3 linked regions of the Cricetulus griseus genome follow. The protein of the gene in region 1 interacts with the protein of each later gene in a biochemical or structural test. Links are inferred from orthologs where the notes say so. Each region holds a gene or a part of one and is shown on either strand. Other genes may lie near its edges. The genes, in order: Hif1a, Naa10 and Usp20.

Region 1 (10,960 bases):
CTTCCTCAGGAACAGTATTTCTGGAAAAGAAAAAAGCAACCATTCTATAGAAGACCACCACTGTTCGTGGACTCATATTTTGGGAGACTACTGAAATGCAAGATGACATTCATTTTTGTATAGTATTTTCAATTTATACTTGTTTTAGCTAGACGAAGAGTTACACACCTATAATCCCTGTTTGAATACAACCTAGCTACATTTTAAGTTTAAGGTTGCCTGGACTACACTGTGAGAACCTGCCTCAAAACCAAAACAACAACCAAAGAAAATTTACATTCATTTTAACCTTACTCTAACACTTAAGGATGGCTATGACATGTACTCCGTAACCATTTTATAAACGAGAAACTGAGGCCAGCTAGGTAGTTTGCTCTAAGTCCCTCTGCTGATTAATTATAGCCATGGAAGTACATGCCAGGTCTTCACATACCTATCTCCTCCACAGGGACCTCTGCACTCTACTGGTCTGGCCTCAGTACTGACCAATATATTCGAGTTGCTGTACCTGAAATATTAGGCCACAAGGAATTATGATAAAGTCAGTTAAGCTTCTCGTATTTGCTTTGGTTTTCCAACAGAAAGCCAAATGGCTAAGTCATATATGACTAATGATTTTATAAATGTAGGTTTTTAATTTTAAAATATTTATAAACCATGTAGTATATAAGCAAGCTGGTTTAAAATTTTTATGTATGTTATGTTCATGAAATATAATTCAGTCTATCATATAAATATCATCTCTGGTTGTACTGTTTATCTACTTATGTGGTGTGTGTGTATACCACCACTCATCTTTGGTTTTAAGCTTGTAATTCTCCTGACTCAGGTGCCTGAGAGCCTGGACTAAAGGCATATATTACTATACCCAAATGAAAATACTGAATTCATCTAAAGCCCCAAGCATTTTTCCTAGCTTAAGAAAATGGCAGCCTGTCCTAGCACTTCAGACGAAGGGGGAACAAAGATCCACCCAGTTACAGCAGCGTCCTTTCGCCTGCTATCAGAGGCAGCTTGCTCTGTCTAGGCACAGAATAGAAGGAATCATTTTTCTTTCACTCACTAATTAGTGAAAATTACTTCCCTGTAGGTACAGCTTCAAATTTAAAACACATCAAATACCATTACATATTATATACAGAAATTCTAAATATTTGCTCAACCATTGTTTCATCCCATAGAAACAATATTGTAAGTCATTCTAGAACTTTTGGTAGATCTAAACAAAGCTTATTTTCTTTATAATAATAATGATAACACAAAAATATGCAATGAAGAATAACAGTAAGTTTAAGGCTAGAAATTATATGCAAGATTTTAAAAAGAAGGCCTGCAAATATCCATATTTACAAGTGAGGACTAAACACCACCAGTTTTCAGTCTGGGATGGGAAAGAACCATTTAGCTGAAGGGCTTTTCTTCAGGTATAAACACCTGACATTTTTTTGCTTACCGGCCGGACTTAGTTTTAGAGGTGTTGGAAGACATCCTTCTGACCTTCTATACTTGGACAACTGATAGGATTGTGTGGGAGAAGTTATAAGGTAACTTTATGATGTTCCTTAGAGCACATGTCAGAAAGATGGCTATATATTTAGAAGTCATTTAACGTCACCTATGTACTAGAACATGACAGAACAAATATGTTCCAAATACCTTTGACTCAAAGTGACAGATACATTAGGGCTCCTTGGATGGGCTTTCTCTGTCTGATCTCTGACTCTCTTTCCTGCTCTGTCTGGTGAGGCTGTCCGACTGTGAGGAGGAGCACTGTATGTTGATGCTGTAGCAGCTGTCGTTTCTTGAGGTACATGGGTAGAAGATGGAGATGCAATCAGTATTTTAATGTCTTCTATATTGTCCTTCGTCACTGTTTTTAATTCATCAGTGGCGGTGGTGGTTGTGGTGGTGGCAGTCTTGGCAGCAGCGGCAGTAATGGTAGGTTTCTGTAGCTGGGTCTGCTGGAACACTGTCACTGTGCTCACACTTGGAGGGCTTGAGGAACTGCTCTCTAATGGTGACAACTGATCAAAGGAGCGCAACTGGAAATCATCATCCATCGGGATATAGGGGGCCAGCATCTCCAAATCTAAGTCAGTATCCTTTCAAACAATAAATAAATAGAAGAGTTTTTATAATGACCACATCTTGTAAAAGAAAAACAAGTTAAACCCAGTCACTATGGGCTAAAAATTAATAAAATACAAAATAAGTGAGTCAACACACCTGAGTTGAAAATGGATTCTTTGCTTCTGTGTCTTCAGCAAACAGCTTTTCGACCAGTTCCAACTTGAATACATTGACCATATCGCTATCCACATCAAAACAATATTCACTGGGACTGTTAGGCTGTGAAAGGAGTTAGGAGTATTTACTTTTTCCTGAAGAAGTCCTTAGGTTTTCTTGTTAATAAGTTTCAAGCACATAGATATTATAAAGCTTTATCTAACTAAAAACTATGATTGAAAGATTTGTTTAGTAGGCTGTGGTGGAGCACACCTCTAATCCCAGCACAAGGGGAGGCAAAGGCAGAAGAATCTGTAAATTCAAGGCCATCATGGTCTACAAAGTGAGCTCCAAGCCAAAAAGGGTTACATAGTAAGACCCTGTCTCAAAAAAAGCAAAACAAAACCAACCAACCAACATCTCCCCAAAATTTGTTTATTCTAAAGAATAAAATTCACCAAACAATTTAAGTTCTACAATGGCACCTAATTATCCAGTTAACGAGATATTTTCACTGGAATCTTATATTCATCATGTTAGGAGTTAAAGGTAAGAATTTTAATAAAAAATACTGTAGCTTGGTATAACAGTTTGCTTTTCCTAATTTTTCATTAGATCAATGACAAAATGAATCAAATACTTACATGCTGGGCAAATCAAAGCAAAGAGTATATTCTCCAAAAGGGTTTGAGATACCATATTGCTTAACTTACACCTGCCAACTTTAATTCCTAACAGTTTAATATAGAATCCAGATTTATTTGTGCTTCACTAACCCAGTTGCAAAGTTCAAATCTAAGCTCTCCTGCTCCCAAGCACAGTGTTAATAGCAGAGAGCTCTGAAACAGAATTGTTCTGGATTTGGAAACAGTTGTTTGTGACACTTTCAACCCTGGTCCAACCTAGATATTAAAAAACCACTTCTGTTGGGTTTTGAGAACTATCAATATCAGGCATATTTATCCTTTATCTTTTCTTTCATCATGGTACTCACCTCAGGTGAACTTTGTCTAGTGCTTCCATCAGAAGGACTTGCTGGCTGATCTTGAATTTGGGGCATGGTAAAAGAAAGTTCCAGTGACTCTGGACTTGGCTCTAATTTTAATGCAACTTCTTGATTCAGTGCAGGATCAGCACTACTTCGAAGTGGCTTTGGAGTTTCAGGGGCAGGTAACGGAGACATTGCCAGATTTATATTTGTGATTTTTTCATTAGATGAGGGGAACATTACATCATTATATAGTGGAACATCTTCGAGTTGTTGGTCTTCAGTTTCCGTGTCTGTAGAGGAAACATTTCTTCAGTCTAAAGAACATCAGGATTTTAACAGTCATAGATATTTTTTACCTTTTATAAAAGATTTGTGATTCACTCAGTTCTCTTTAACTGGAAAGTTTATGGACATAACAGCATGATCATTAAGTCTGAGTTATCTTTTTTGTCCACCACTGACAACTCCTAGGTTGTGTATCTCCAATCTCGTTATAAACTAAAACTTAGCCTAATTTGAAGTAACATTTTTCATTTTCATCTTTGCTTTATGGCATGATTGCTTTGTTAATCGTTTAGCATTTACCTAATTACACCTATTGCATTTTAACTCTACTGAATGGTGCAGCTGGGTGGCAGGGAGGGTATTAGAGGGTACCTTCAGGATACTCTGAACTGCAATTCCCAACAGAACACAAAAATAAAAGTAGGAAGGCTATGAAATTTCAGAAACAAATACATTAAACAATACCTTTGAAATACTATTAAAAAAAAGTGTAAGCATCATGCAAATACGTAAGCCAAGAAAGTGCAGCTGAATTGGGACAGGAAGCAGCAGACACAGCTGAAGAAGTGGACAGACTAATTAAGCACCCACCATCGCTGCCAAAATCCAGAGATATGATTGTGTCCCCAGCAGCTGGGGCCAGCAGGGTTAGAGCATCAGGTTCTTTCTTAAGCTTATCAAAGAGACAGCTTGTATCGTCTGATTCAACTTTGGTGAACAGCTGAGTCATTTTCATATCTGAAGATTCAACTGGTTTGAGGACACATTCTGTTTGTTGAAGGGAGAAAATCAAGTCGTGCTGAATAATACCACTGTCAAAAAAGGAGAGATTAGTATTTGTAAATTAGCACTTGACATGATGATAATAAGGGGGACTGTGAAACAACCTTGTCTCTTCAATTATGCTTTATATAAAAAAAGCATCTCAACATTCCTTGAGATGAATAATCTCTCATGCATATTTGCCACATTTCTTTTCCCTCCCAGTGCTGATGATTGAGCCCAAGACCTTTGCACACTAGGAAAGCGTTCTACTATTGAGAAATGTGTATTATTTTAGAACACCAATATGAAGCCGGGCGGTGGTGGCACATGCCTTTAGTCCCAGCACTCAGAAAGCAGAGGCAGGTGGATCTCTGTGAGTTCGATGTCTTGAACTACCCCCACCCCCCAAAAACAATAAAAACATCACCAATATGAAAATAAAAATTTAAATAAAATTCACTAATTAAAATATTCAACTTATTTGAATTGAAACATTCTTTGAGAATAGGGGTGGTGACAAGAACACTCGAAACACAAGCAGAGTAAGGCATTTGTGCAATGCACACAATAAAAAGGCCACAAAATTACTCGTCAGCATTAACACATGAGACATCATCTACAGATGATCTTACAATATAATGCTAATGACCATAGTCTTTATGAGAGGCGCCATACTTTCTTGGTGGAAATAATATAGTGATGTCATTCATAAGATAGGAAAGAAGAGGGAAAGGGATGATGAACAACCACCCAGCTTCATGTCTGGCATCAGCGTACTTTTAGCTAACCCATTACATGTTCAATTTATGAAACCAACTAAGAATACAAAGACTGATGTATACAACCCTTGCCTTCAAGTAGTTTATATCCAATGTGAAATGGATAAGATCACAATACACTGTGATCACTCCTAAGATGGGGAAAGGATGTTTCATAGAAAGGTGAACAAGCTGGAATTTGGGCTCAAGTAACAATCATGAGGCAGACTGGGAGAGGAAGAATAGTTTTATATAAAGGCAAAAAAACCACAAAAGAACTCTTTAAACTAAGATGATTCTTTGGGCTTAGAAGTGGTAAGGCATGGAGTTTGATCCTAGCATCAAAAATATCCCCCCAAAGAAACAATAGAAACTAGAAGTTGTAAGAACAAAAACAATGGCCCAAAGTCTTCACAAGACAGGTGACCTGGATTTTGGTAGCATCCGTGAAAGTTATGCTGGAGAATGCTGGCACAGCCCTGCAAACCTACATAGGGCAGCTGAAAATTCAAGGCTGGTCTGGTCTACAGTGAGTTCTAGGCCAGCCAAGCCTACTCACAGTGAGACAGGAAAAAAGAAGGGGAAGGGTATGGAACATAGGAAAATGAGCTATCCACATTAGAGAACTCTGCCTGGCAATTAAATTAGAATGTTTTGGTCATGTGAAGAGTGACTAAATGGGGCACAGCTTGCTGAAATAACTTATAGCATTCATGACTGTAACAAAAGCCCTGTGTCACAACACACAGCCTGTCACAGTGCCCTCCTACAAGACAGCCATTTAACTTTCACAGAATCTTTTGGCCCCAGGATAGCAGCTGCTTAAAACACAACTACCAGGAAAACAGATCCACAGACTGATTAAAAAAAAAAAATGATACTCTTTTGTGGATCACTGGAATAGCTGGTTTGGAAAGTTGGGCCAGAGTATAAATCATAATCCAGTAGAAGAAGTAAAAATAAAACTCAGTTTTTATCATTTTATATCTTCTTAATAAAGGCACATAAATGTAGAAAGTGTCTCTTCACAATCTTACCTCACAACGTAGTTCACACACACAATGCACTGTGGCTGAGAGTTCTTTGTATTATATATGACAGTTGCTTGAGTTTCAACCCAGACATATCCACCTCTTTTGGCAAGCATCCTGTACTGTCCTGTGGTGACTTGTCCTTTAGTAAACACTAGGGATAATAAAGGATTGCAAAGAAAACAACTCAATTTTCAATAAAAAAAAAAAGTGATGAATGTAGACTGTTGGGTTTTGTTTTTTGCTTTTTTTTTTTCCAGGCCAGGGTCTCTCTATGTAGCCTTGGCTGTCCTGAAACTCCTTATGTAGACCAGGTTGGCCTCACACCCAGAGATCTGCCTGCCTCTGCCTCCCCAGTGCTGGGGGTAAAGGCTGGTGCTGCTGTGCTTGACTGAACCATTGCTGTTGGTTTGTTTGTTTGTTTCAAGGGAGATATACTTAAATAAATAGTTGTGACTGTTTAAAATGAGAAAGGCCAAACATACCTAAAAACAAACCCCAAAGAAATTTCCTATCTTAAGCCAGGAGTGAAGGACAAGGTGTCTGCAGTTTCTTTAATGACTTATGGTGAAAGTGTCAGACTAGAGACTGATCACAGGGTACATTTAAGAAAATGGAGCTGGGTAGTGGTGGTGCACCTCTTTAGTCTCAGCACTCAGGAGGCAGAGGCAAGCAGATCTCTGTGAGTTCGAGGCCAGCCTGGTCTACAAAGCTACATAGAAACCCTGTCTCAAAAATAAAAAAAGGGGCTGGCCAGGTGGCTCTGTGGTTAAAAGCACTGGCTGTTCTTCCAGAAGTCCTGAGTTCAATTCCCAGCACCTACATGGCAGTTTACAACTGTCTATAACTCCAGTTCCAGGAGATCTCACATCAATGCACATAAAATAGTTAAATAAATTCTTTTTAAGAAAAAAAAAAAGAAAGAAAATGGTACCAGTTTTTTTAAGCACCAGAGAACCAATCACTGTAAAAAATTATACTCAGAACATTTGAATATATAAGTTCATGTCATACTATAGCCTTCTGTCAATTCATGCAGTCTAAATTAATTACTGACTTAAGAGAATGTAGTAAATCAATCATGATGATGCCGTTGTGAGTATCCATGCTCTGACTACAACTTAGGCATACTCTGTAGTTCAAGGCAAATTACACTAATTCAATGATACTCAACTCAGTACCCTCAATCATATTGGGAAGTCATGTTTAGGTCCAGATTAAATAGGCAAGTGAGGAATTATGAAGTTTAACTTAGTTTGGTATCATAGATTTATTTGAGTAAAATTCAGAAACCTCCTATATGTCAAGGGTGTCAGTTATCACATGTGTATACTAATCCTACTCACTAGTTCATGAACAAATGCTTTGTGACTACCTCCTATTGACCAACCACTGATTTCAGTACATATGTACGTAGGCTAGATAATCTATAATATTTGACTTTTATGGGATACTTTATGTATTTATTATTAAATGACTTTACTTTTTGCTAATATTTGTAACAAAACAATAATTTCATTATCAAGACATCTTATGAAGGGGCTGTAGGATGCTTGTCTAAGGAGACTGGGTGGTAATTTTAACTAGAAAGTAGAGGTACAGTACAGACTGCAGGACTTAAGCAATGACACTATTTCCTTGAGTTCCTCTACTGTACTTACTGTCATGATGAGTTTTGGTCAGATGATCAGAGTCCAAAGCATGATAATATTCATAAATTGAGCGTCCCAAAAGTTCTTCTGGCTCATAACCCATCAACTCAGTAATTCTGTTTAAAAAAAAAAAAGATTATCTTTTGCTTAATAAGTTTAGAACTCACACTTAACTATTCTATACTTTGGCTGGGCAGTGGATTCCTTTAATCCCAGCACTCTGGAAGCAGAAACAGGTGGATCTCTGTGAACTTGAGGCCAGCCTGGTTTACTGACAGAGTTCCTGGACATCAGGGCTATACAGAGATACCCTGTCTCAGAAAACAAACAAAAAACCAAACAACAAAACCAAAAAACACCCCATCCCCCCCCCCCCCCCCCGGCAAAACAAACCAAACAAAAAAACCCCAAATTCTGTACTTAGTATAAAGTCACTTAGATCAGTCCCTGATATCTGACTTATCCCTTTTACCCAAACTCATGACCTATTTTTTAAAACACATTTCATTATACACACTGTTGGTATCAAAGCAGGGTATATTAGTAAATCTTAATGATGCTAAATGAAATGACAAAAGTTCCAAAGACAGTCACAATTATCTTAAAATACAGTATAAATCTATAGCAGTTTATTTTTCATTCAGTGAAAATCTTTACCCTATTTTTAGGCCTGTGGCAAGGCCTCACTTTAATATCAACTATAAAATTTCACTATTAAGCCAAGGACATCCATACTAAATGGAAAGTAAATATTAATTTTCTAAAATTAAGAGGATTTCACATGAAAGAACGGCATCTAAAAGAAAAAGGGCTGAAAACGGATTCAGGGAGCCTCCTGGTCCCTGGGTATCAGCCTGGAAACCATGAGGACCCATTTTATGAGAAAGACAAGTCTGTCCTCGTCACATTAAACCAATTACAAACATTTTTCACTGAAGTCTTTCTGGGAACAAACATGAACCAAGTGTTGACACTTCTCAGTTTAGATTCCAGAGGACTTAAAAAAAGCCAACAAACAAAAAAACCAAGGTGCAGGTAAAAGATACTCATATGTCTAAAAAGCAAACACCTAATTACAGAATGGGCATAAGGAAGGTATCTTTGTTCATAACAGTATGTTAAATAATATAGCTTAGCTGTTACAGTTTAAGATCTGCCATTTACTCTAAAACCAACAAAGCAGATTTATTGAAGCATAAATCAAACTTTGACTCTTCAAAAAGGGATAACCAAAATACACCAACACTAGATGGCAGCATTACAAAGATAAATAAAATATACTTTAAAAATATGTGTTTTCTCCTTCATCCCAGAATGGTAGTAGGGATTAAATCTAGAGCAGTGATTCTCAACCTTCCTACTGCTGAGACTCTCTAACACAATCCCTCATGTTGTGGTGACCCCCAATCATAAAATTATTTTCATTGTTACTTTATAACTAATTTTGCTACTGTTCTGAATCATAATGTAAACATCTGTGTTTTCCAATGGTCTTGGGCCCCCTGTGAAAGGGCCTGTCAACTGTCAAAAGGGACATGACTCACTGGTTGAGAACCCTGATATGGGGGCTCACAATGCTAGACAAAGGTCCTCCCTACCCCATCTTGGTGCTGGTGATTTGGAGCTGGTGATTTGTACTAGTTTTCAGTTTTAAATGTTTGCTAAGAATTTCTTGCTCTATACCACCTCAGAATCAAGACACAGAAAAAAATTTGCCCAATTTTAAGAAAACCTTTACATCACATTTCTAGCATCCAGGACCATTAAAATGGGCCATCAGGTAAGGCACCTGCTACCAAACTTGGCAGCGTGAATTCAGTTTCTGGAACCCACGTGGTGGAAGGTGAGAATGAACTCCCACAAACTGTCCTCTGTCCTCTACCTTTGTGCTGTGACCCACATGAACCCACATACATGCACTCACACATGCTACCGCTGAGTGTGGAGGTGCATCTAGCCCTAAAAATTATTTGAATTGCTCTTACATAGTTTTACACACGTAAATAAAATTCCAACATAATGAAATACTTTTTAATTAAACATTCATGTTTCTGGTGTAATTCTAGACATGAAAACACAATGAGAAAACCTAACCTGTGGGCAATCTTCTGGTAAATAACTTGCTTGTCATTTTATTATATTTAGATTTAATTGCACACTTTTTCTTTCTTTCTTTTTTTTGAGACACAGACAGACTACAAAGTCCTGACTAGACTGGAGTCCGTATGTAGTCCAGGCTGGCTTTGAACTTTTGGTGACTTCCCTGTCTCAGCCTCCCAAGTGTTTTGAGATCACAGACATAAACCACCACATCCAGAATGTACAGCATCTTTTGATAAATAAAAATCTTCCCATCTACAATCCTACAAGAAACAACTGATGCATTTCTAATAAGAAATTGGCATAATCTGATCATTACCTTGGGAAGCCCTCTTTGGGCACAATGGGTGTAAGAGTAAAAGGGCACAGATCTGTTGGTAGAAATGAAGCTCACAAGTTTGTGGGAACAACTCAGGCCAAAGGTAATGAAGTAAAGAATTCATGACAGGAGCACAAAGGTAGATAGAACAATGAGGAGAGACAGTTGAATGAACAATGCATTTACAATACTTAGAGACCAACTAAGTGTAATGTGTGGTAAAAGTTAGAGTCAACAGTGCTATGTCAACAACACTAGGCATCACAAGAGGAGTAGCAATCTGTCATGCTGCTGTTTGGGAACAGCAGTGGTTCAGTTCAGGAACACAAGTATTTACTTCATTATACAGAAAACGATCTAGACAGGAATATCAAGTTGGCAGTTACACACAAGTAGTAACAGATTTGGGAAATGGGGACAGGAACTGTGGGTGGAGTTGAAGGTGCTCAAGGAGAACATATAGGTTAAAGACCAAAATTTTGTTGCCTACTCTATATAAGCTTTAGGTCTTTGAAATTTACATTCTCAAGATTCCCTAAAGCAAAAGAACGTCATGATTTTTGTGGTTGTTTCAATACCTTTTGAATGCTTGGACAAGTGATCCATCTGACCTACATCCCTATCCTGAAACATATTTTTGTGAGACAGCTTACTTTCAACTCCCTTTCCTCCTGCCCATCTCCCAGTTGCTGAGATTACAGGAGTGTGCCACCAGATCCATCTGAGAATCTCATCTTAATAGATTTGCAGAACACCTGGCAGAATATTTATAGTACACAGTCAATGTTTAATAGATGCATGAATTTACAAAGCTAATCTTATGTTTTTTTTGT
Region 2 (10,311 bases), on another chromosome or scaffold:
AGATTTATATTCATTTAATTTTATGTGTTCTGCTTCTATATGTGCATGCATGTTCAAATTGTGTGTGTGTGTGTGTGTGTGTGTGTGTGTGTGTGTGTGTGTGTGTGTGTGTGTGTGCTTGATACCCATGGAGAACAGAAGAAAGTCTCAGATCCTAGATACTAGAATTACAGATGAGTATGAACCTCCATGTGGGTGCTGGGAATTGAACTCAGATCTTCTGCAAAAGAAACAAGTGCTCTTAACCACTGAACCTTCTCCTTAGCCCCCTTCTTTTTGTTTTTGTTTTTTGAGACAGGGTTCATTCAGTAGCTCTGGAAAGACTGGAACTTCCTATGTAGACCAGGCTGGCCTTGAATTCATAGAGATCTCCTTGCTCCTGCCTCCCTTGCTCCAGTCTCCTGCTGAGACTGAAGGCGTGCATCATCACCTCACCAGGCTAGCTCCTGTTTTAAGAATACAAAAGCCTGTAGGACAGGGTGAGAGTGGGTGAGTAGTGGCTCAGAGGCAATCTAGGGTTGCAGGGTGACGTCCAGGCCAGCCTAAGCTACAGAGGGAGACCCTGTCTCAAATCAGATAACCTAGGTGAGGTGATGCTCATCCTGAGACAGAGATCGGGACTAATATGGAGACTGTGAAAACAAGCAGAAACAAAACCCAACAAGACAGGCAATGGAGATGGTTCCATAGTGGTTAAGAGCTCTTCCAGAAGACAGAATTCTTAGAATCCAAAGGCAGCTGACAACTATATAATTTCACTTCTAGGGTATCTAACACCCACTTCTGTACTCCGAGGGACCCCCCCCCCACACACACACACAAACACAGGGAGAGAGAGAGAGAGAGAGAGAGAGAGAGAGAGAGAGAGAGAGAGAGAGAGAGGAGAGACAGAGAGATACAAAAATAAAAATAAATATTTACAAAGAGTGATAGAGTTTTAAAGGGGTAGATCTACAGGATTATTTATTTGTGACAGTGTCTCACTGTGCAGGCCAGTCTGGCATCCAGGTGTTTATACTGAACATGAAACCATAATGGTCAATATATTTGACTTTTTGCACTTACCAGAAGCTATAGAAAAGTTAAAACACTCAGAGCTGCCAGTGTTGTCACACACATTAAATCACTGCATTCAGGAGGCAGAGGCAGGCAGATCTCTTGTGAGTTCGAGGCCAGCCTGGTCTACAAGAGCAAGTTCCAGGACAGCCCCCAAGGCTACACAGAGAAACCCTGTCTTAAAAAAAATACAAAGAAACCCAACAACAAACAAACAAACAAAAACACTCCAAGCTGACTGTGTCTGTGTCCGGGGTGATAAAAGAAATTTTTTTAAAGTTTTATCTTAAGTGTATTGATGTTTTCTCTGTGTAAGTTAAGGTGTCGAATCCCCTGGAACAGGAGTTACAGTTGTGGGCAGCCATGTGGTTGCTGGGAATTGAACTCAGGACCTCTGGAAGAATAGTCAGTGCTCTTAACTGACGAGCCATCTCTCCAGCTCCTCAAGACCTTTTTAAATACGTGGAAGAATGTGCACTTGGTCCTGGAGAATGACCACAAGGCTGATGTGATCAGACTAATTGGCTACTCTGGACAGAGGGAGATGAGAGACGTAGGGCTCCTGAGAGAAAAAATCATTAGGCAGTGAGGGTACATCCTGAAGAAGAGTCCCTGGAGTCAAGCCCAGCCACCTTATCCTATGCCTTCCAGCCTCAGCTCACAAGGCACGTAAGGCAGCGCTGAAGCAGGGGAAGTGCTAGGCCCTAGTGTGGGCCTGCGGTTTCCCCCTCCACAGCTCCCACGTCCGTCCAGGAAACCTAGCCAACTAGGGGCGGAGCAGACAGCACAGCTTCAACTGGCCGCCAATCACACCCAAGCAACCAAGGCAGAGGGGTGGGCTTCCGTAAGTGCCTTAGGAACATTCTCGTGCTCCCGCCCACCAACTCTGGGGGCGCAACCAAGCCGGTGCGCATGTCTGCCCTTTCTGTTGCGAGGCGTTTATTCTGGTGCTATAGAACCAATCAGAGCCTGGGAACTAAGAACGTCACCTTGTTTGTGAACCCAGAGTGAAGTCAACACGGTAGGCGAGAGGAAACGCTGACTTGATTCGTACAAAAGGAAGTACGTGACTGTAGCCAATCAGAACTCAGTTTCGCTTGAACTACACAAGGGGGGGGGGGGTAGAGGAACAGCCATATGCAGGCGCAAGTTTCTTCTCAGGTTCTGCTCTCTATCCGCTTTCTCGGTTTTAATGGATCACTTCTACAACCAAATAAAGAACTAAGCTCCAAGACAAACTATCCAACCTAGCGATGGGCGGCTTGAGAAGGGAAATTGTTAGTATAGTGACAGCTCAGTTGTCAGTTAGGTGAGCGGCCCAAGAAGAGCACACCTAGGACCTAGCAGTCATCAGTGATGGTCTAGAATCCAGAAAACACGTTTAGGAGAGTGTTAAAGCAAGGGTGACACTGTGACAAAGCGTTTGAGACGTGGACTCTTTGCCTTTTTAGCTTGAGGGAGGAAGGGAGGGAGGAAGGGAGGGAGGGGGAGGAGGAGGAGGGAGGGGAGGGAAATAGGGAAGGGGGACGGCGGAGGGAGAGAGAGGGAGGGAGGGAGGGAGACAGGGAGAAAAAAAAAAGCCTGGAGTGGTGGCTCACACCTGAAACCCCAGTACTTGGAAGACTAAAACAAGAGACTTACGTTTTGGGTTTTTTTTGTTGTTGTTTTGTTTTTTCGAGACAGGGTTTCTCTGTAGCTTTGGAACCTGTCATGGAACTCAGAAATCCGCCTGCCTCAGCCTCCCGAGGACTGGGATTAAAGGCCAGATTTAGCTACATAGCAAATTCGTTCGTGGCCACCCTGAAATACTTGAGACCTTGTGAAAGAAAAGAGGGGAAAAGCCAAGTGGTGAGGGCACACAGCCTTTAATTCCAGCACTCAGGAGGCAGAGGCAAGCAGATCTCTGTGAGTTCGAGGACAGCCTGGCCTACAGAGTGAGTCCCAGGAGAGTCAGGTCTGTTACACAGAGAAACCCTGTCTCAAAAAACCAAATGGGGGGGGGGGCTGAGGGTTTATATTCAACATAAAAAGATAAATTGCTGTATTAGACTTTATGCACTTACCAGAAGTCACAGAAATGTTAGAAGACATTGAGGCTATCCTAATGGTAGCCAAAGACTAGCTAACAATGTGCAGAAATGTCTCAGCATAGCAACAAATACAAAATATTAATGGGGGAACTGGCTGGATGGCTCGCACTTGTAATCCCAGCACGTTGTAGCCTGAGGCAGGAGGATTACCACAAGTTTGAGGCCAGCTGGGGTATGAGTTCCAGGCCAGTTTGGGCTAAGGACAATTTGTCTCAAGAAGTTGAGTAAACAAAAGAGATTAGCCTGGTAATGGTGAAGGGCAGAATTTGAAGAACCCCTTAAAGGATCAGGACTTTGAGGCCAACAGTTAAGGCTAGGAGTGTGGTTCCGTTCCTAGAGTGCTTGTCTAATGGGCAAGAGGCCCTGAGTTAGATCTCAAGCACTGTATAAACTGGGTGTAGTGGCAAGGAGATACAGCCTCTCTAAAAGTAAGGGCTAAGAGTGGGACCTAAGAGGTCGAAGCAGCACAGCCAAGAGCATCAAGGTGGGAAAGATGCCTCTGAAACCCGAGGCTGACTAGAAAGCCCCAAGGAATCATTTAGTTCAGCCCTGGAAAATTAGTAAGGAAGTCAATGGGGCCTGCAGGCCAGGAAGGTGACAGAATAGGGCACCTAAGCTGAACCCTACTCAGTTGCTGAAGGTAGCCAGATTCGCCAAATGATTTGTGAGCTAAGTGGGCTCTGGTTTGTGAAGATGATATCCCCACCATGAAGGAGCTGGCACATTCACAAATTCCCCAAGGCCACAGGACCACATTTATTGTAAAAGCACATGGGGGGAGGCTTGAACCAGGTGGGGCAGGCTCTAGGAGGCAGAGTCAGAGGCCTCTGAGCTGTCTTTGACATCTGTGCTCTCTGTGGTCTCGCTGACCTCGCTGAGGTCCTTGCTGTCCCCAGCACTGTCCTCAGCAGCCAGACTCTTCTCACGACAGGCCTCTCCCGAGCTCAGAAGCATGTTGCCTTTGCCCTCCGCCTTGTTCTCCGTGGCTGCCAGCACCATGTGTCTGCCCTTTTCTTTCAGCTCCAGGTGCCGCCTCAGCTGCCGACGGGAGCCCAGAGGGAAGCGGGTTGAAAGAGATAGGGCCTAAGTCTCCAGACAGGAGACAAGAGGAGCCAGACCCTGGGGCTGGCTGTGGGGAAGGATACAATGAGAGGCAGTAGGGCCAAGGCAGGAAATAGGACTGGGTAGAGATGCAGTTCAATGGTAGCTCTGCCCCAAGCCTGTTTCCTCATCTGTAAAATGTCAAGGGTCCTGCTGCCCTCAAGTGGGCTTCTGGGGAGCTCCCAAGACACAGCATGAATTGCCCTAGCCCCAGGAGGCTTGGTCAGGAACCCTTTCTTCCCAGCCCAGATTGGTCCTAGATCTGAACAGGCTGGCCATGACTGCCCCTGGCCCTAGTAATCCCAGTCCCGAGATAGAAAGAAAACTCTTCCTACTGTCTCTCCTATTCCACCTGCAGGCTTCTTCCCCCAAGAACATCTCATGGCCTCCTCTATGATCAACCAAGGCCATGCCCCTACTTGTAGGCTTAGGAAGTGAGGGAAAGGGGGACTCTGACTCCTACCACTATAGCTACAAGTGCTGACAATCAACCTTAGTCTTCCCTCCAGCCACCACTGCCCCTGGAGTCACAGCTCTTAAGTAGCCCCCTTTCCCAAGTTTGGAATCCCCTCTACTGCTGGAATTGCTGCCCTGGCCTGGCTGAACTCTTACCTCATCAGCCATCTGTGTAAGGTCCCTCTTCATGGCATACGCATCTTCGCCATCTGCATAGTATTTGGGCTCCACTTCACTGATCCTGGGGGTAGGATGGAGACACACCTGGTTCTTAGGCTACTAGGGTGGTTGTCATCTCCCTCTGCAGAGGGGAGGCAAAAGCCAGCCTGAATTGATTTTTTTAAATTTTTCATTGAATGGACTCTTTTCCAACAGCCATGATGGCTTTCTCTGTTCTCTTCAGTAAAGCCAAGCAGCAATGTAGCATCCAGGATACTTCCCATCCCTAAACTTGCCACTGCTCTCTGTCCCTAGCCTGAATAGCAAGGACTTGTGTCTTTTGAGTGAAGCCCTTAATTCTTAAGACATTAAAGACAAGAGAACTGCTGTGTGTATACACATCCTCATGTGTACATGTGTAGGCCAGAGATATATGTTGGGTATCTTCTTCAATTGCTTCCCACTTTTTTTTTTTGAGACAGGGTTTTTCTGTGTAGCCCTGGCTGTCCTGGCACTCGCTCTGGAGACCAGGCTGGTCTCAAATTCACAGACATCCTCCTGCCTCTGCCTCCTGAGTGCTGGAATTAAAGGCGTGCGGAACCAACGCCTGGCCACTTTATGTTTTTCAAAATAGGGTCTCTCACTGAATCTGGACCTTGAACATTCAATTAGGCTGACTGGTTAGTGTACCCAGGGATTCTCTTGTCTTAACCTCCTCAGCACTAAGATAATAGGTACAGGGCACTGTATGTGGCTTTTATACATGTGTGCCAGGAATCAAACTCAGGTTCTTACAATTAAGCTATCTCCTTAGGACCCCCCTTTTGAGACAGGGTCTGCTGTGTGGCTGAGACTGACTTGGAACTCCCTATGCCAGGCCCTTAACCCACAGTCCTGTGCCTTCTGAATGCGGAGATTAAGAGGCATGTACTACCACACCTAGCTGGGAATTGCTCACTTTGCATGTGAAGCAGTCCCCACCAAAGGCATACTTAACTAGGTCAAAGATCTCCATGAATCTAGGTAGTGAACTCAGAAAAGCCTGAAGGCCACTGTCCTGTCCCAATAGTCCCATCTTCACTCTACCCCATCAAAGCCTAGTGTGACTCAATGGGTCCTCCAATCAGTTCACTCCAGCCCCACTTTCAAGTGGCAGTAGGCACTGCCAGTTCCTTTCTCCAATCCTAGTCTCATGGAGATGCCTGTGTCCTGAGTAGACCTGCCATCAATTATCAGGACATCCAGAGCTATAGGTCCCTCATTACTTTTGTTCATGGCCCTTTTTCTCTGCCATCCCCTTTCATCTCCTCTCACCCAATGCTTCCTGGTGCCAGTCACTTCTCAACCCTTGCTCATGCCCTAATCATCTCTCTTTACTCTTAGACCAGCACTAAGAAGCTTTGTATGTTCTTTTTTTTTCTTTCGAGACAGGGTTTCTCTGTGTAGTTTAGGAGCGTGTCCTGGCACTCACTCTGTAGACCAAGCTGGCTTTGAACTCACAGAGATCCTCCTGCCTCTGCCTCCCGAGTGCTGGGATTAAAGGCGTGCGCCACCAACGCCCAGCTGCCTTGTGTGTTCTTTACTATAATTCCTTTCACCAGCCTCACTAGCACTTAGTAACAAACCATACTTCCTCTATCCAGCAAGATGTGCAGGACACCTCCTCTACCACACACACAGAAACCAGGTGCCTTCTCCATGTTAGCTTGTCAGTGAACAGCCACTGAGTATACAGAAGGACCCCTAGCAATGACTGAAGTTCCTCCACCCCTTTCTTAGCTCACCTTAGCTAAAAGGATGGATCACGCCACTTAAAAAATCTGGATCTGCCAGGAGGTAGTGGCACATGCCTTTAATCCCAGCACTTGGGAGGTAGGCAGATCTTTGTGAGTTCAAGGCCAGCCAGGTCTACAGAGTGAATTACAGGATAGCCAGGACAGTTACACAAAGAAACCCTGTCTCTAAAAACAAAACAACAACAACAACAAAAAATCTTGATCTACTTACTGAAAGTTGAGGGTGTTGGAATAGAGATGCAGGGCAGCCCGGTTACTGCAGGGGAATAAGGCACTACTGAGCTTCAGAAACTTGACCAGGCATGTTGGCAGGCTATATCCAGGCCCTGCCTTTCTTCCCAGTCTTCCTTTCCCACTAATGCTACTTACCATCTTCTTCTGAAGGCAGTAAACCCCAGAACCCCTATCAATGGGGTACCTCTTCCTCCCCACTCCCCAGCATTGTCCTTTCCCCAAGCTTGTCTTTCACCTCTTTCTGACATGTAGGGAGACATATTTGGCATTGAAATTCTCTATCATGGCTCGAGAGGCCTGATCCATCAGCTTCTGAGCCAGCCCAAGGCGCCGGTGGGAACGCTTCACAGCCTGAGAGAAGGATGGGTACTAGTGGGACCTTGGAGGCTACCTCCAGTCCACCTCTGCCAAACCCTCAGTAGCTCTACTCACCAGTGAGGTGATATGTCCATGGGGCACGTCATCTGGGTCCTCTTCCCTAGAGGAGAAAGCTAGAAAGGAGCCTGGTACAGGTCCAGTATGTACCGGACACCTGTACACATCAAGTGCACAGACATCGTGATGGACCCTACAGCACCCCAGATCCAGGCAGAGGAGAACTAGGAACTTCTGAATCAGAATAACCAATCATGCCCTCCTCAAAGCCCCCATGCTACACCCAGTAGATATGTGCAGTGTCAACAGAATATTAGCCTGTGATTGACAACAACAAAAGTCAGCTGCCAAGACACAAAAAGTGTAGCAGTGTATTGCTGAATGCAAAGCATTGAATGAAAGGAGGCAGCTTGAAAGAGCTATAAGTTCCTAGTTCAACTCTGCAGCCTTCTTAAAAGGTGACCAACCTTGTTGTTGGAGGTTGTGGGAAGGATGGAATACTCTAAAGGTGGATAGACACTCTTCATTTGCCCAACTCAGAGGGTGTGTGACACACAGAAGCCCAACAATGAAAACATCAATCTAAACAAAATCTGTGTTGGTTTCTCACTTCTAATAAGTGTACCATACATGGTAGTGAGAGAACAAATGTGGAGGAGGGGGTGTGTGGAAATACTCAGTACTTTCTGCTCAATCTTTCTGTCAATTTAGAAACACCCTACCAACAAGCTGTTAATTAAAAAACAATTCACAGCAAGCTGGGCATAGTTAATCCCAGCATTCAGGAGGCTCAGCATGAAGACTGATGCAAGTTTGAGCCCAATCTGGCAAAAGAGTGAGAACCCCTCTAAAACTAATCCACAGCATGTTCACCAGATGTGGATGGTGTTGGCTTCCCATTCCCTTGTCCAAAGCTTTTCCCTCAGCTCCTCAACCCCCAGTCTTAGAATTAGGCTCTTTTCTTCCTCCTTGGTGACTCACATTTTGGCCAAGACGTACCCCACAATCTTCCCATTCTCATCCTCAGCAATGTAAGAGAGCTGGTAACAGAGAGGAAAAGGATGTCAGGCAGAGCAGGCAACAGGCTAGAGCTCACTGCCAGCCTCCTGCTGTGTGTAGGATAGTGGGAAGCAGCAAAAATTGTCCAGTTGTGACAGCTGGTGGCCTGGAATGCAAGGGTCCCAGATTCCCTACTCCACAGTTGTGCCCTCTCTTGGAAAAGCACAGACACAGGTGGGAATCCCATTTCCCACCTGTGTCTAGCTTACAATCCCTTGCACTGTTTCCTTTGCCAGGCTTCCCCATCAGCCATGGCTTCGCTGTACCAAGGCACTGTATATCTCACTGCCCAGTGCTTTTGGCCCACTCAGATCCATGATTCCCTTCTGTTGTCCCTTACACCCTTACAAAACGCAAAACCTGCCCACCTGGGGCCAAGAGAGGCCATGATAGAAATAGTACTTCATCTGGTAGTTCTCGGGCAGGCAGAGGAGGTTGCAGTGCTGCATGTTCATCAGGTCCTCGGGCTGCATGACAGCGGGACACGGTTAGTCCAGGACTGCAGTGACTAAGAAGGGCCTCACGAATGCGGGGCCCCTGTTCTCTGTTAATCTCTGGGCCTCCCCTTCCCCGGGCAGGTCAGGGTTGTGACTATATGACTTTGCACAAGCCTGGTTTCCATGAGCCATGCAAAACGCGCCAACTCAAGGACCGAGCAGTACCGCCTGGAGGTCGCGAGCCCACTCGATGGAGCCCTGACATTAGGCAAACGCGGGATAGTATAATCGCGAAATGTCCAGGGCAGGTTGCAACAGCCTTAAGGTCCAGCGGCCGCAGACGTGGAGGACCACAGCACCAGGTCCCTCGTTAGCATGTGCACGCGGTCACCCGGCAAGGCGCCCATGGGTTGTGGACAGGCTAGCTCCCCATCACCTCACCCTAGCATTGCGGATATTCATCACGGCGGCGGAGCTCGCAGGTCCTCGTGGGTTATGAACGTGCACGCTCAGCGGCCACTCAGAAGAACCGCACGGACTATAGGGGCTGGGGCCAGGCTCCCAGAGGAAGGTAACGGAAGAGGCGGGCCGGCCCGCCCCACCTGCAGCGGAAGTGTGTGGTACGGGATCCGCTTCCGAACCGCACAGCCAGTGAGCGCACCGAGAGTTAATGGGAGCGGTGGATCAGTGCAAAAATGGCGCCTTCAAGGCCGTTATGAAGGCTGGGTAACGCGGGCATCGTGGGGAGTAGCTGTACCCTCCCGCCCGGCCCACAGAGGTGCGCACACAAGCAGATGGAGCAGGGTTAGATTTATTTTGAGCCTCTGTGGGTGGGGACAGTGAGCGACGACATGACGGGAGCAGGCCGGAGGCGGCAGAGCAGGGCTTCCAGAATCTACTCGCACATGGCCAGGCACTGCGGCACGTGGAAGCAGCTTGTGAGGGGAATGGATGCTGGGGTTAGGAGGTCCTAGGGAGCCAGGTGCCACAAACCTTTGCAGTCTCGTCCCGTTCCTTGCTCACCTTTAAAAGGACCTCTCTTGATGGTGAGGGTCACCTTTCCCTCTCGGTTCAGATAGCCGAACCATTCCCCGAACTCAGGATCACGAAACTAGAATAAGGAGACAATGACAGCTAGTGTCTGGCAGGACACACCAGAGTGTCACGGGCTGAGGAAGGGGCCCTCGCTGTCCCCTTTGTACTACCACCACTGGTCAGAGTTCAAATGCCATGATTTCATTACTTTTTTTTTTTTAGCTCAAGTCAGTAAAACTTTATTTTGATAGTGGTTTTCATTACTTTTAAGAGACCATGTCCTGGGAAAAGATGAAAGCTGAGGATGATAGGCAGTTGGTTTTCTCAGCTTGTAACCCAATGGGAAGATGCTGCAGGCAATGTGCTGAAACGCTGAGAGAACAGGTGCTCTATGTTTGATTGTAGTGTGTTATCTAACACTTTGAATTGAATACTTAAAAACACACGTTTACCTAATCTATATTAAAAGGCAAAAAGAACAAAGAATCCTGGATTGACTTGCCAACAAACTTT
Region 3 (11,060 bases), on another chromosome or scaffold:
GCTGCTGAGGCAGGAGGATTTTGAGTTCCAGATTTGCCCAGGCTACAGAGAAGGGCCTTTTCTAAAAAAATAAAATAAAACAAAAAACTGGAACCAAGAGGGCTGAGGATATGGCTCAGCTGGCTCAGTGCTTGCCTGGCATGTATGAAGCTCTGGGTTTGAGTCCCAGCACTGTGTAAACTAGGCATAGTGGTACATCCCCAGAACTTGGGAGGCAGAGGCAGGTGGATCTCTTCAAGTTCAAGGCCAGACTGGTCTACACAGCAAGTTCCAGGCCAGCCAAAGACACACAGTGAGACCCTGCTTCAAAAATTAATTAAAACTCAAGAAAAAGAGGGAAAGGAGCTGGAGATATGACTCAGCCATTAAGAACACTTACTGCTTTTTCAGAGGGCCTGAGTTCAGTTTCTACCCCCAAAATCCCTGCATCCAACACTCATAATGTGGGCTCACAGCCACCTATCACTCCAGCTCCAGGGGAACACCACACCTACTTCTCCAAAAGTGTCAACTCCAGACAGATGCAAACATGCATATGTACATGCACCCACAGAAATGAATAAATAAATAATATAAATAAGGCAGGTATTGTGGCATATGCCTTTAATCCCTCAGGGCTTGGGGGAGGGCAAAGGCAGGTGAAACCTCTGATCATGAGGCCAGTTTGGTCTACAGAAATGAATTCTAGCCAGTCAGGATACATAGTGAGAACCTGTCTCCAAACAACCAAACAACTAATAAAAATAAACCTTTTAAAAACACATTAATCGCCAGGTGTTGATGGTGTACACCTTTAATCCCAGCACTCGGGAGGCAGAGGCAGGTGGATCTCTATGAGTTCGAGGCCAGCCTGGTCTACAGAACAAGTTCCAGGACAGCCTCCAAAACAATCCAGAGAAACCCTGTCTCAGAAAAAAAAACAAAACAAAAAACCACACAACACATTAATCCCCAACTCAGGGGGGCAGAGGCAGGTGACTCTATGTTGACTTTGGGCCAGCCTGGTCTACAGAGTAAGTTCCACGACAGCCAGGGCTACCTACACAAACAAACAAACAAAACAAACAAGCCTTAGAGAAAGGAGAAGAGAAACTGAGGAAGGGAAAGAAAGAGTGGTACTCTTCTCTTTAAATTAAGGGGGAATCACTGAACAATTAGCAAGCTAGCACATGACCTTAGATAATAGTAATTTTTAAGAATTTACCTGGGAGTGGGGGTGAGGGTGCACATATCTACTTGTGTGTGTGTGTGGAAGCCGGAGGCCAACCTTGGGTGTCACTTCTCTCACAGAACCTGAAGCTCACTGATTAAGCTAGACTGACTGGCCAGTGACCCCCAGAGTTCTGCCGATCTTTACCCTCCAGTGCAGGGATTACAGACACACACCACATACCCATGAACCCTGATGACTGAATTCAGTTCTACATGCTTGCTAAGCAAGCATGACAGTGACTAAGGACCTCCCACCACTGATATCATGGTAACAACTGTCCCACCCTACCCCCAAAATCCCTGCATTCACCTCCTAAGCACCATCACCCTAGTATATATGGGTATTTGGAAGTAAGGACTTTGGATAAATAATTAAGTAAAAATCAGGTCTCTGTGGTGGCCCAGGTGGGACTTATGCTTCTGAGACTCAAACACAAGCAATGGAGGCTGTCACACAGCAAGGCCACATGAGTACAATGAGAAGGTGCTGTCTGAAGCCTAAAACCAGAACTCCAGACTCCAGAACTTGAGACCATTTTTGTTGCTTAAGCATCCCTGCCTGTTGCCTGTTGTCAGAGCAGCCTTGGAGACTGGTTATTGTAAAGGTTTTGCAAGAGAAAATCATTCTCTGGCTGTGCACGATGGCACCCTTCCTTACTCCCTGATGGCTGCTTGACCCGTCTGCTTACTTTCCCATGAATCAGCAACAGTGACATTAGGAAATGCAGATATGGAAAATAAAGTGGAAAAACGCCAATAATCGGTGAAGGGAGGAGAATGAGGGCTCATCGTATTACTCAAGCAACCCTCTCTGGTTGCTTCGTTTCTGACAGAAGAGCAAAGCCACCTGCCTGAGGTCACACAGTGAGGAAGGGACACAGCTGAAAGGGAGCAGGTCAGGTGTGCCAGCAGGCCTCTCATAAAGGCTGAAAGGGAAAGGGAAGATCCATTAAAGTACAGGATGCTGGCTGGGTACAGGCCCCCTGAAGAGCAGCTGGTCCTAGCAATCGCCTTCAGGGACCCACTAGCCCACGCCCCCATGTCTTGGAGCTGGAGAGTATGGAGGAGGGCAAAGAACCCACCTCTCCTGCCCTGTGAGACCTGAGACTTTAAGGGGCAGAACCTACAGGGACAGGCTCTTGCACCTTCCCAGGGAGCTAGCAATGGGAGAAGCCCCACCCTCAGGGGCCGGATGGGGGCGGGGTCTAGGAGATGCAGCGCGGCTGCGCACTCACTCCAAAGGCCTGGCAGCTTCAGGTGCCCGTTACTCATCACTTTCCCCAGAGTTTCTGGTAATATTCTTCCGACTCCCAGGGAGTCGCTGGTCCTTTGGGATCCGAAGGGGGCACTGCCGAGCTTCCGCCCACACAGGTTCCCACAACCACCACTAGCTAGCCTCTCACTAGTCAACCAGAGACCCTTCCCTGCACGTCACACCCCTTGCTGACACCTGCACCTTCCTTTTCTCACTCCCCCAATTCCAGACACTGCCCACCTCTCTATCCCAGTCTTACTTCCCTAAGTCCCCCATCCCTTTGGTTCTTCACATAGAGGCCTGTGGCATCCATCCCCACCCCCTGCCTGGACTAGCCCAACTTCCCACACCTCCAGGTCTCCCGGCTCATCACTGACCCTCCTTAGGAGCTCTGCTAACAGCTCCACACCTTCAACTATCCCAAGGTTAGGTACCCTCACAGGACCCTCACAACTGCTCAGGGAGGCCAGGATGCAACCCATCCATCACCAGAGGTGGGGAAAGTGAGCCTTGAGCACAGGGGTAACTGGCTGAGTCACAAAGCTCTGGAGCCCCAAAGCCAGGACCCAAACTCAGGGGACCTGCCCTGCAGCCTATGATCTAAATGAACTGTGGCTTCCAACAATCCCAAATGTGCCAGCCAGCAGCACACAGGGACAATTTTCACCTCAAAGCACTAGACACGGCTACACAGCAAGGCAAGGCTGTTCTGTTTTTCTAAAAAAAAAAAAGAAAAAATCGTGCCAGCCTAGGAGAGCCCCAAACCTACGCCCTTTCCTTTTCATTGACCCCTAAAAGCAGCGTGCAGAGGTGGCTCAGGCCCTGTTCTGCACTCCTTGAAGCTGTGTGGAGCAGTGAATTGCTCTCTGGAGGACGGCTCAGGAGCGGCTTGGAAGGAAGGAGCAAGGAGGTAGCCTGGCTAGCCTAGAACTCACTCAGTGGACCAAGCTGGCCTCAAACTCAGAAATCCATCTGCCTCTGCCTCCCAAGTGGTGGGATTAAAGGAGTGTGTCACTACACCTCACTTTTTTTTTCCAAGATGACTTCTTTTTTTTTTTTTTTTTTTTTTTTTTTTTTTTTTTTTTTTGGTTTTTCGAGACAGGGTTTCTCTGTGGCTTTGGTTGGAGGCTGTCCTGGAACTAGCTCTTGTAGACCAGGCTGGTCTCGAACTCACAGAGATCCGCCTGCCTCTGCCTCCCGAGTGCTGGGATTAAAGGCGTGCACCACCAACGCCCGGCTCCAAGATGACTTCTTAACGTTGAGATAGTCAAATGTGGGCCAGACTTAAGTCAGCTAGCCTCAACTCTCTATGTAGCTGAGTATGACCCTGAACTTCTGACCCAACCAAGGGTTGGGACTACAGGCATGAAACAGTTTGCCAGGTTTATATGCTGGAGGTTGGACCCAGGGTGCATCATATGCACATTAGGCAAGAATTCTACCAACTGAGCCGCATCCCCAGTCCCCTTCAAACAAGTTTTTTTTCTTTCTCTTTTCTTTCCTTTTCTTCATCTTTTGGTTTTTTTGAGACAGGGTTTCTCTGTGTAGTCCTGGCTGTCCAGGAAATTTCTCTGTAGACCAGGTTGCCTGCCTCTGCCCTGAGTACTGGGATCAAAGGTGTCCACCTCCACCACCTGGCTCAAACAAGCATTTCTTGAATGCTTACTATGGCAGGGACCATCGAGATATGACTGCTCCTTGGGCATCCATGTAGCTCCACAGAGAAATCCACACCATTCCCAACGTCCAAGCCAAACTAAAACTGGAGACTCATCTTTGAACTAGAAGAGGAAAACCCCTCACTTTCCTGAAGGTTCCCTCTCAGAAGCAGTCTCACTTTTAAGAACATGACTCACAGGAGCTGAAGTCTCTCCACCCAGGCACCTAGGTCAATTTCTGGCTGCCACACTCTAATCAGCACTTGAATTAAACAAGAATCAACTCCATCTGCCACAGCCCAGGAATTGGATGTCACCTGGCACTCCGGCTTCAAGGACGAGGGTGGCTTTGTATCAGATGTCCCTCTCTGTCTTCAAATAAGGACTGTATGAAAATGCTCCCGACCATCTGACTCTTTCCTTGCCAGTACCAGCATGGCCCAGTACCCTAGGGGATACGGGGCAGGGCATGGCCAGGCAGGGAAATTAAGAACTACCTCTGGAGCTGGAGAGATGGCTCTGTGATTAAGAACACTAGCTGGTCTTCCAGAGGTCCTGGGTTCAATTCCCAGCAACCACATGATGGCTCACAACTATCTGTAATGAAATCTGGTGCCCTCTTCTGACCTGCAGGAATACATGTAGGCAGAACACATCTAAAAAACAAAAACACCCCTGAGCCTGTGAGAGTTGTAATCCAATTCCCTGGGTTTGTGCAGCAGTTCCCACGGAATCTCTTTTTCAGCCAACAGAGACATGGCGTCCAGTGAGTGCCATACACATTTAACAATGGCTGAAACAGCCTTGCTGGGAGGTCAAGACTTCGATACTTAATGTATTTTTCATTAATGCAAAAAAGCTGTTTCAAGACATCCCAGTCTTCTTTGTCCTAGTTTAAGAGGAACGACAACCTCAGAGAAAATTGTTCTGGAGAAAAGCCAAAGCATGGCAGACATGCCTCCCTGCTTTAGAATAGTTTTCCAGAAAAAAGTCTCCATCAGTCTCCCGCCCCCCCCCCCCGCCCCAGCCCATGAACTGGAATGCCATAGAGGCCCGCTGTCCCTGATGCAAATCCCACAGCTGGGAAAACTATGCCCCCACCTGAGCTCCCCTTCCCAGCTGTGTAACTTGAAGCACAGGTTACTTCTCTAAGCCTCAGCCTTCTCTAACTTCCTCAGTTGGAAGACAGACCCAACTGCATCTACTTCGTGAGATTAGACCGGAGACTTTTAGGAGAGAATGCTTAGCCCTGCCACAGTTAAGAAGTGCTTTGCTCCAGAGGAAACTAGTAATTAAGGAGTCCCTATAAGTCCCATGTGAGCCATTACGCATGCACTTATCCATCTCCTAAGTGTTTATGGATACCTTTGAAAGCTAACTACTCTCGCAACATCTTGGCGGTGGAAGGTGTGTAGGACAGAGCGAGTCCTCCAGGCCAAAGGAGACACCCCGAGCTCTCGAAGGGCAGTCCCCGGCTTCACACCCTTGGAGAGGCCTCTGAACGTCAGTGGCATCCCTCCTAGGGACCAGTAGCAGCAGACCACCCTGGTACGGGGGAGTTGGTATCGGGACTGATATTCACCCCCGCCAAGGCGCTCAGCTTTTGTCCGTGAGAAATAAATTTGCACATCTGAGGCCCAGAGCCCGAGTGGCCTCGCGCTGGCCTTCCGAGCGACGTGCGGCCTGCTCAGGAGAAGCCAGGGCCGTGGGGACTTGGGGCGGACACAGGAGCCGGTCGATGGGAGGGTGGGCGGCGGGGACCTCTCCCCAGATCGCGGCTGCCCCGCAAAGCCAGGCCTCCCCAGTTCGCAGCGGCGGCGCGATCGTCCCTGCTCTAGCGGCCCAGCCCACCGCACCAGGCATCAGCCGTCCGGAACTCACCTGCCGTCGCAACCGCGCCGCCTGTCAGTCAAGCGCGCCCACCGCGACGCCGCGCAGAGTCTTGTGGCTCTGCCTGTCGTGCCCCGCCTCCCTACCGTCAGCTGTCCAATCGAGAGAGCCTATGCCAAGGACGGGGCGGGGTCACATGGCGCTGCCTACTAGGGGGCGGGACCGTGCGTGCTGGGGGCGTGGCCGTGCGAGTACTGAGTGCCCATGCATGCTGGGAGTAGGGGGAGTGGCCGTGCTGCTGGGGCGTGGCCACGTGGTTCGAAGACTGTCTTGCTGGTGGAGGGCACAGTCTCGGCGCTGGGGCGTGGCCACGCGGCTGTACCTGCCCTTGCTTTTTGGAGTTGGGAGCTGGTGGCTATGCTGCTGGGGCGCGGCCTGGACACCCGGAGGCGGGTCTGCATGCAGCCGGCCCTCTGACGACACTTCTGCGCGCCGGAAGAGAAAGAGGTTCCCGGCACTACGCGGCAGGTAACGCCGCTCCTAAGATCTGGTGCCGCTATGCGGATCACTGGGAAGACTTTCCGCCGGCGGCGGGCTGACTCGGAGTCGGAGGAAGATGAGCAGGAATCAGAGGAGGTTCGGTACGTGTTTGGCATGACCTCCACGGCCCAGGAAGAGGGAAACAGCCTTGGGACTGGCTACCGGCCGGCACTGCGCTGACACCACTGACCGGGAGCCAGGGTTGTTGTCTTTCAGAGGCTCCTGCTGATAAGGCCACATTTCCCCGGTCCCGAAGCTCGGAAAGGTGCTCCGGGGTCGCATGGGTCTGACTGCCGGTGATCCACAGTGCCAGGGACTCGGCCGAGAGACACGGATGTCCCCGGAACTGAGTTAAGCTTTGAGTTCCGCAGAGGATCTCTCAGCCTGTGCATTGCTTTTTATTCATTTCCCCCCAGGTTAAAACTTGAAGAAACCCGAGAGGTGCAGAACTTAAGGAAGAGGCCAAACGGGGTGAGGTGGGTACCATGGGGGTGGGGGTGGCGTCATTTATTGATGACACAGATACTTCCAGCTAGGGTCTCAGTTACAAATATCTCCTTCGACATAGTTCTTTCTCTAGACATACACCTTGCACTGGTCGAAGAGGGGACCAGTTTTTTTTCAAATGTGTAACTGCCACATGCCCTGAGCCTGGTGGTATCAGAGTCTACTCCAGGTCACTAATTGCTTTTTGGTTTTTCCAGACAGGGTTTCTCTGTATTGCTTTGGAGCCTGTCCTGGAACTTGCTCTGTAGACTAGGCTGGCCTCGAGCTCACAGAGATCCGCCTGCCTCTGCCTCCTGAGTGCTGGGATTAAAGGCATGAGCCATCACCACCACCCTGTTGCTAATTGGAGTTGTTTTTTTTGTTTTGCTTTGTTTTTCAAGATTTTATTTATTACTTATACAGTGTTCTGCCTGCATGTATACTTGCACACCATTGCAGATGGTTATGAGCCACCATGTGGTTGCTGGGAATTGAACTCAGGACCTGTGGAAGAGCAGCCAGTACTTTTAATCTCTGAGCCATCTCTCCAGCCCTAATTGGAGTTTTTAATTGCACGGATGAATTGTGAATGACAACGTGTTGACAGATAAGAGTTTAGAAAAATTAGAGAAGTATAATTAAGAAATAAATGATTTCTGTGGTGGTTGTTGGTGCATGCCTCTAATCCTAACCTGGGAGTTTGAGGGCAACCTGGGTTATATAGACCCTATATTTAATTAAATATAGACCCTATATTTAAGAACTTTGTGGGAGCCGGGCAGTGGTGATGTGCACCTTTAATCCCAGTGCTCTGGGAGGCAGAGGCAGTCAGATCTCTGTGAGTTTGAGGACTGCCTGGTCTACAAAGCCAGTCCCAGGATGGGCTCCAAAGCCACACAGAGAAACCCTGTCTGGAAAACCCAAATTATACTGTGATTTCCAGGCTAAAATGAAATCAAATGGCTATGCAGGAACATGCACAGCTGCTTCCTTTGCCTTTCACCCTCCCACTCAGTGTGCTGAGCACTGTGTTCTTTCCTACCTACTCTTGGGCATGCCCTTCCATCAGTGCTCTAGCCTGCAAACCTGATTGTCCCAGATTGCTTCCTATGCTGTGACCATGACACAAAACCACTTGCAGAGGAAAGGTTCTGATTACATTCAGTTATTGGGGGAAGACAAGGCAGGAACCCAGAGGCAGGAACTGTAGCAGAGAGCATGGAGGAGCACTGCTTACTGGCTTGCTTCCCAGGTTTACATTCAGCTGTCTTATACAACACAAGACCACATACCCAGGGGGAAGGGAGCCCTGCACACAATGGCCCTCCCACACCAATCACAAGTAAGAAAATACTCCTCAGGCTTGCCTACAGGCCAACATGATAGAGGCATTTTCTCAATTGAAGTTTCCTCTTCCCAGGTGACTCTGGCTTGTTTCAGTTGACAAAACAAACTAGCCAGCATATTGATTGATTTCCTTCTTGTCTCTGTGTCATTTCTTTGTCTGTTTTCTTTTGCTCAGTGCTGCTGCCCTGCTGGTGGGAGAGAAGGTTCAAGAGGAGACTACTCTGGTGGTGAGTGTTGTCTCCTCTCTGGGGCTGTTCTTCTGTGAGTGTGTCTCTAATGTATAACCATGCTGCCAGGGAGATGGCTAGTCAGAGTGCTTCCTGTGCAAGCACAAGGGTCCAAGTTTGGATTCCTGGCACCCACATGAAAAACTGAGAATGGTGACACATCCCTATAATCTGAGCACTGGGGAGGCAGATTAGGACGATGTGCTGAATAAGAAAGCTAAGATACCCTCTCTCAAAGTATAAGTTGGGGGAATGGCTTTGTGGGTAAAGTGCTGAAGTTCTTGCTGCACAAGTTTGGGGACCTGAGTCAGGCCCCTAGTACCCAGCACAAAAGCTATACATGATGGCATCCATCTGTAACCCTAGCAAGGTTTGGAGTAGAGACAGTTGGAGCCCTGGAGCTGACTGGCCAGTGAGTCTACCCAAATCAGTAAGTTCTCTGTCTGAGATATTTAAGGTGGAAAGTGATTGAGGCAGATGCCTGACTTTGGGCTCTTGCCTCCACAACCACACATGCATACACACAAACATGTATATACACTGTCCACACACAAAACTAACAAACATGGTCACATACAAAGTAAGAAAAGCTGGGTGGTGATGGCATATGCCTTTAATCTCAGCACTTGGGAGTCAGAGTGAGAGACCAGCCTGGTCTACAAGACCTAGTTCCAGGACAGCCTCCAAAGCCACAGAGAAACCCTGTCTAACAAAAAACAAAACAAAACAAAACCCCCCAAAAAACAACAACAACAAAAAATAAGGTGGAGAATGATTGAGGACACACCTACAACGTTGACCTCTGACCTTCACGGGTATGCATACATATGTGTACGTGCACCTGTACACTCACAGATGATCACAATAACTCTGATGCTACTATTCTAGATGCTTCCTCTAAGCAGTGTGCTTTCCGCAGGATGACCCTTTCCAAATGACGACAGGTGGCATGGTGGACATGAAGAAGCTGAAGGAGAGGGGCAAAGATAAGTAAGTGGAGGGTACTGGGCACAAACACACTGTTGCTGGGCCTTAGCTGGCAGGAAGAGCCGGGGATGAAGCTGCCTGGACACCCTGTAGAGCTTGCAAGTTCCATGCTGTGCCAGGGGTTATGCTAATTAGAAACCCCAGTGGGGGGCTCGGAGCCAAGAGAGAAGGATCCATTTGTAAAGGACCTTGTTCATTATTTCAAACATGGGGAAGCTTTGTATGAAAACCTAGTTACAAAAATTATACCAGAGTCCAGCTCCAGCAGGGTTCTAAGCCACAGGACAGAGGTGTAAAGTTGGCCAAAAATAAGAGTATGACCACCAGTTGTCTTTCAATAGACGGCCCTGAATAGTTCAAGCCGTTTTTATTTATACAAGTTCTAATGCATTCAAGCATGAGCAATATCAATACATTTCTCTTTAATCTTTTCCCAGAATCATAAACATTTACCCATTTTAGTTTCTTTTCCTCTTCCCCACTCCCTTGATGTCCTTGACCTTTACCTCCTATCATTAATTTTTATATTGCAAGCCAAATGATTCTATCTAGCCAGGCACATCTTATTCATACTGCGCCCTAACCAGCAGCAAACATGCAGTTATAAAAAAGGAAATTTCAGGTGGATTAATCCCAGCACTCGGGAGGCAGAGGCAAGTGGAGCTTTATGAGTTCCAGGACAGGCTCCAAAGCTACAGAAAAACCCTGTCTTGAAAAACAAACAAACAAAAAACAAAAAAGGAGATTTAAGCCCTATGATCAGCCCTTAGCAATGTGATACTTTTATATTTTTGTAATCAGCTGAGTATATGATGCCATACCTAGGATATTGTTTTCAAGTGTATGTCAATTCCTAGATAATATGTATATCACTTTTATGTGGACAACAGTTGTAATCCTGTTCTTTACAAATTCTCAAAATGATAATGACTACCTAATTCTTTAACTGTTGGGACCAAGTTTATATTCTTCCTTGCAGTTTCTACGTGTACTTTCACAGGAAACTGGGAGTTTTAACTGAAAAAATATCTAACCATTCATGTCCTGGCAACAGAGTGGTGTCTGACCTTTCATGTCCTTTATCTTTTGCTTATTTATTCCTATAAGTTTTAATGTCATCTTAAATTCTTTGGAATATAGTTCTCTTTTGTAGGATAGTTATGTAACCAAGAATCATTAACCTTAATGAGTTCCTCCTACTTAGAATGACTGCAAAAGCAGCCAGGGGCAACAGGAGGAACTGGTTTCTGTGAATGGCTGCGGAGAGACTTAATTTTTAATTTCCTTGTGGAGACTTAGAAAAATTATCAGCTTTTGTTCCTAGTAAACTCAGCAACAATCACAACTGACAAAGCAAAACTTAAGAATTACCATGGCAAAAGTTAGAGAGGCCTGAAGCCCATGAGTTCTCTAGGATCAACCCATGGGTCTGTAAGCATTGCTTCCACAGGTCCTTGCCAAGGGGATGGGATTCTCCAAAGGGCCATGTCATAAGAGGCTCCATTTGCAAAATATTTA

The links.
Region 2: the proteins of Hif1a (region 1) and Naa10 form a complex in vitro, tested with the Homo sapiens proteins (4 studies listed by BioGRID and IntAct, with this or other methods). The link is inferred for Cricetulus griseus from reciprocal best matches to the Homo sapiens genes HIF1A and NAA10.
Region 3: of the proteins of Hif1a (region 1) and Usp20, one has a biochemical effect on the other in vitro, tested with the Homo sapiens proteins (2 studies listed by BioGRID and IntAct, with this or other methods). The link is inferred for Cricetulus griseus from reciprocal best matches to the Homo sapiens genes HIF1A and USP20.

The regions. Positions count from the first base shown.
Region 1 is NC_048598.1:129,457,959-129,468,918, forward strand, and holds part of Hif1a (hypoxia-inducible factor 1-alpha), read right to left. Parts: intron 7,825-10,960; coding exon 7,718-7,824; intron 6,211-7,717; coding exon 6,063-6,210; intron 4,315-6,062; coding exon 4,094-4,314; intron 3,508-4,093; coding exon 3,221-3,507; intron 2,350-3,220; coding exon 2,227-2,349; intron 2,103-2,226; coding exon 1,657-2,102; intron 21-1,656; coding exon 1-20.
Region 2 is NC_048604.1:1,828,174-1,838,484, reverse strand, and holds Naa10 (N-alpha-acetyltransferase 10), read right to left. Parts: upstream 9,226-10,311; coding exon 9,205-9,225; intron 8,794-9,204; coding exon 8,695-8,793; intron 8,308-8,694; coding exon 8,249-8,307; intron 7,371-8,248; coding exon 7,325-7,370; intron 7,244-7,324; coding exon 7,128-7,243; intron 6,915-7,127; coding exon 6,870-6,914; intron 4,945-6,869; coding exon 4,860-4,944; intron 4,276-4,859; coding exon of another isoform or gene 4,185-4,275; coding exon 3,951-4,184; 3' UTR 3,875-3,950; downstream 1-3,874. UniProt on the Homo sapiens protein: Catalytic subunit of N-terminal acetyltransferase complexes which display alpha (N-terminal) acetyltransferase activity. Acetylates amino termini that are devoid of initiator methionine.
Region 3 is NC_048599.1:142,693,297-142,704,356, reverse strand, and holds the start of Usp20 (ubiquitin carboxyl-terminal hydrolase 20), read right to left. Parts: upstream 6,128-11,060; 5' UTR 6,007-6,127; intron 5,703-6,006; exon of another isoform or gene 5,491-5,702; intron 1-5,490. Other genes in the region: CUNH9orf78 (telomere length and silencing protein 1 homolog), read left to right, coding at 6,514-6,596, 6,912-6,971, 8,504-8,555, 9,475-9,545.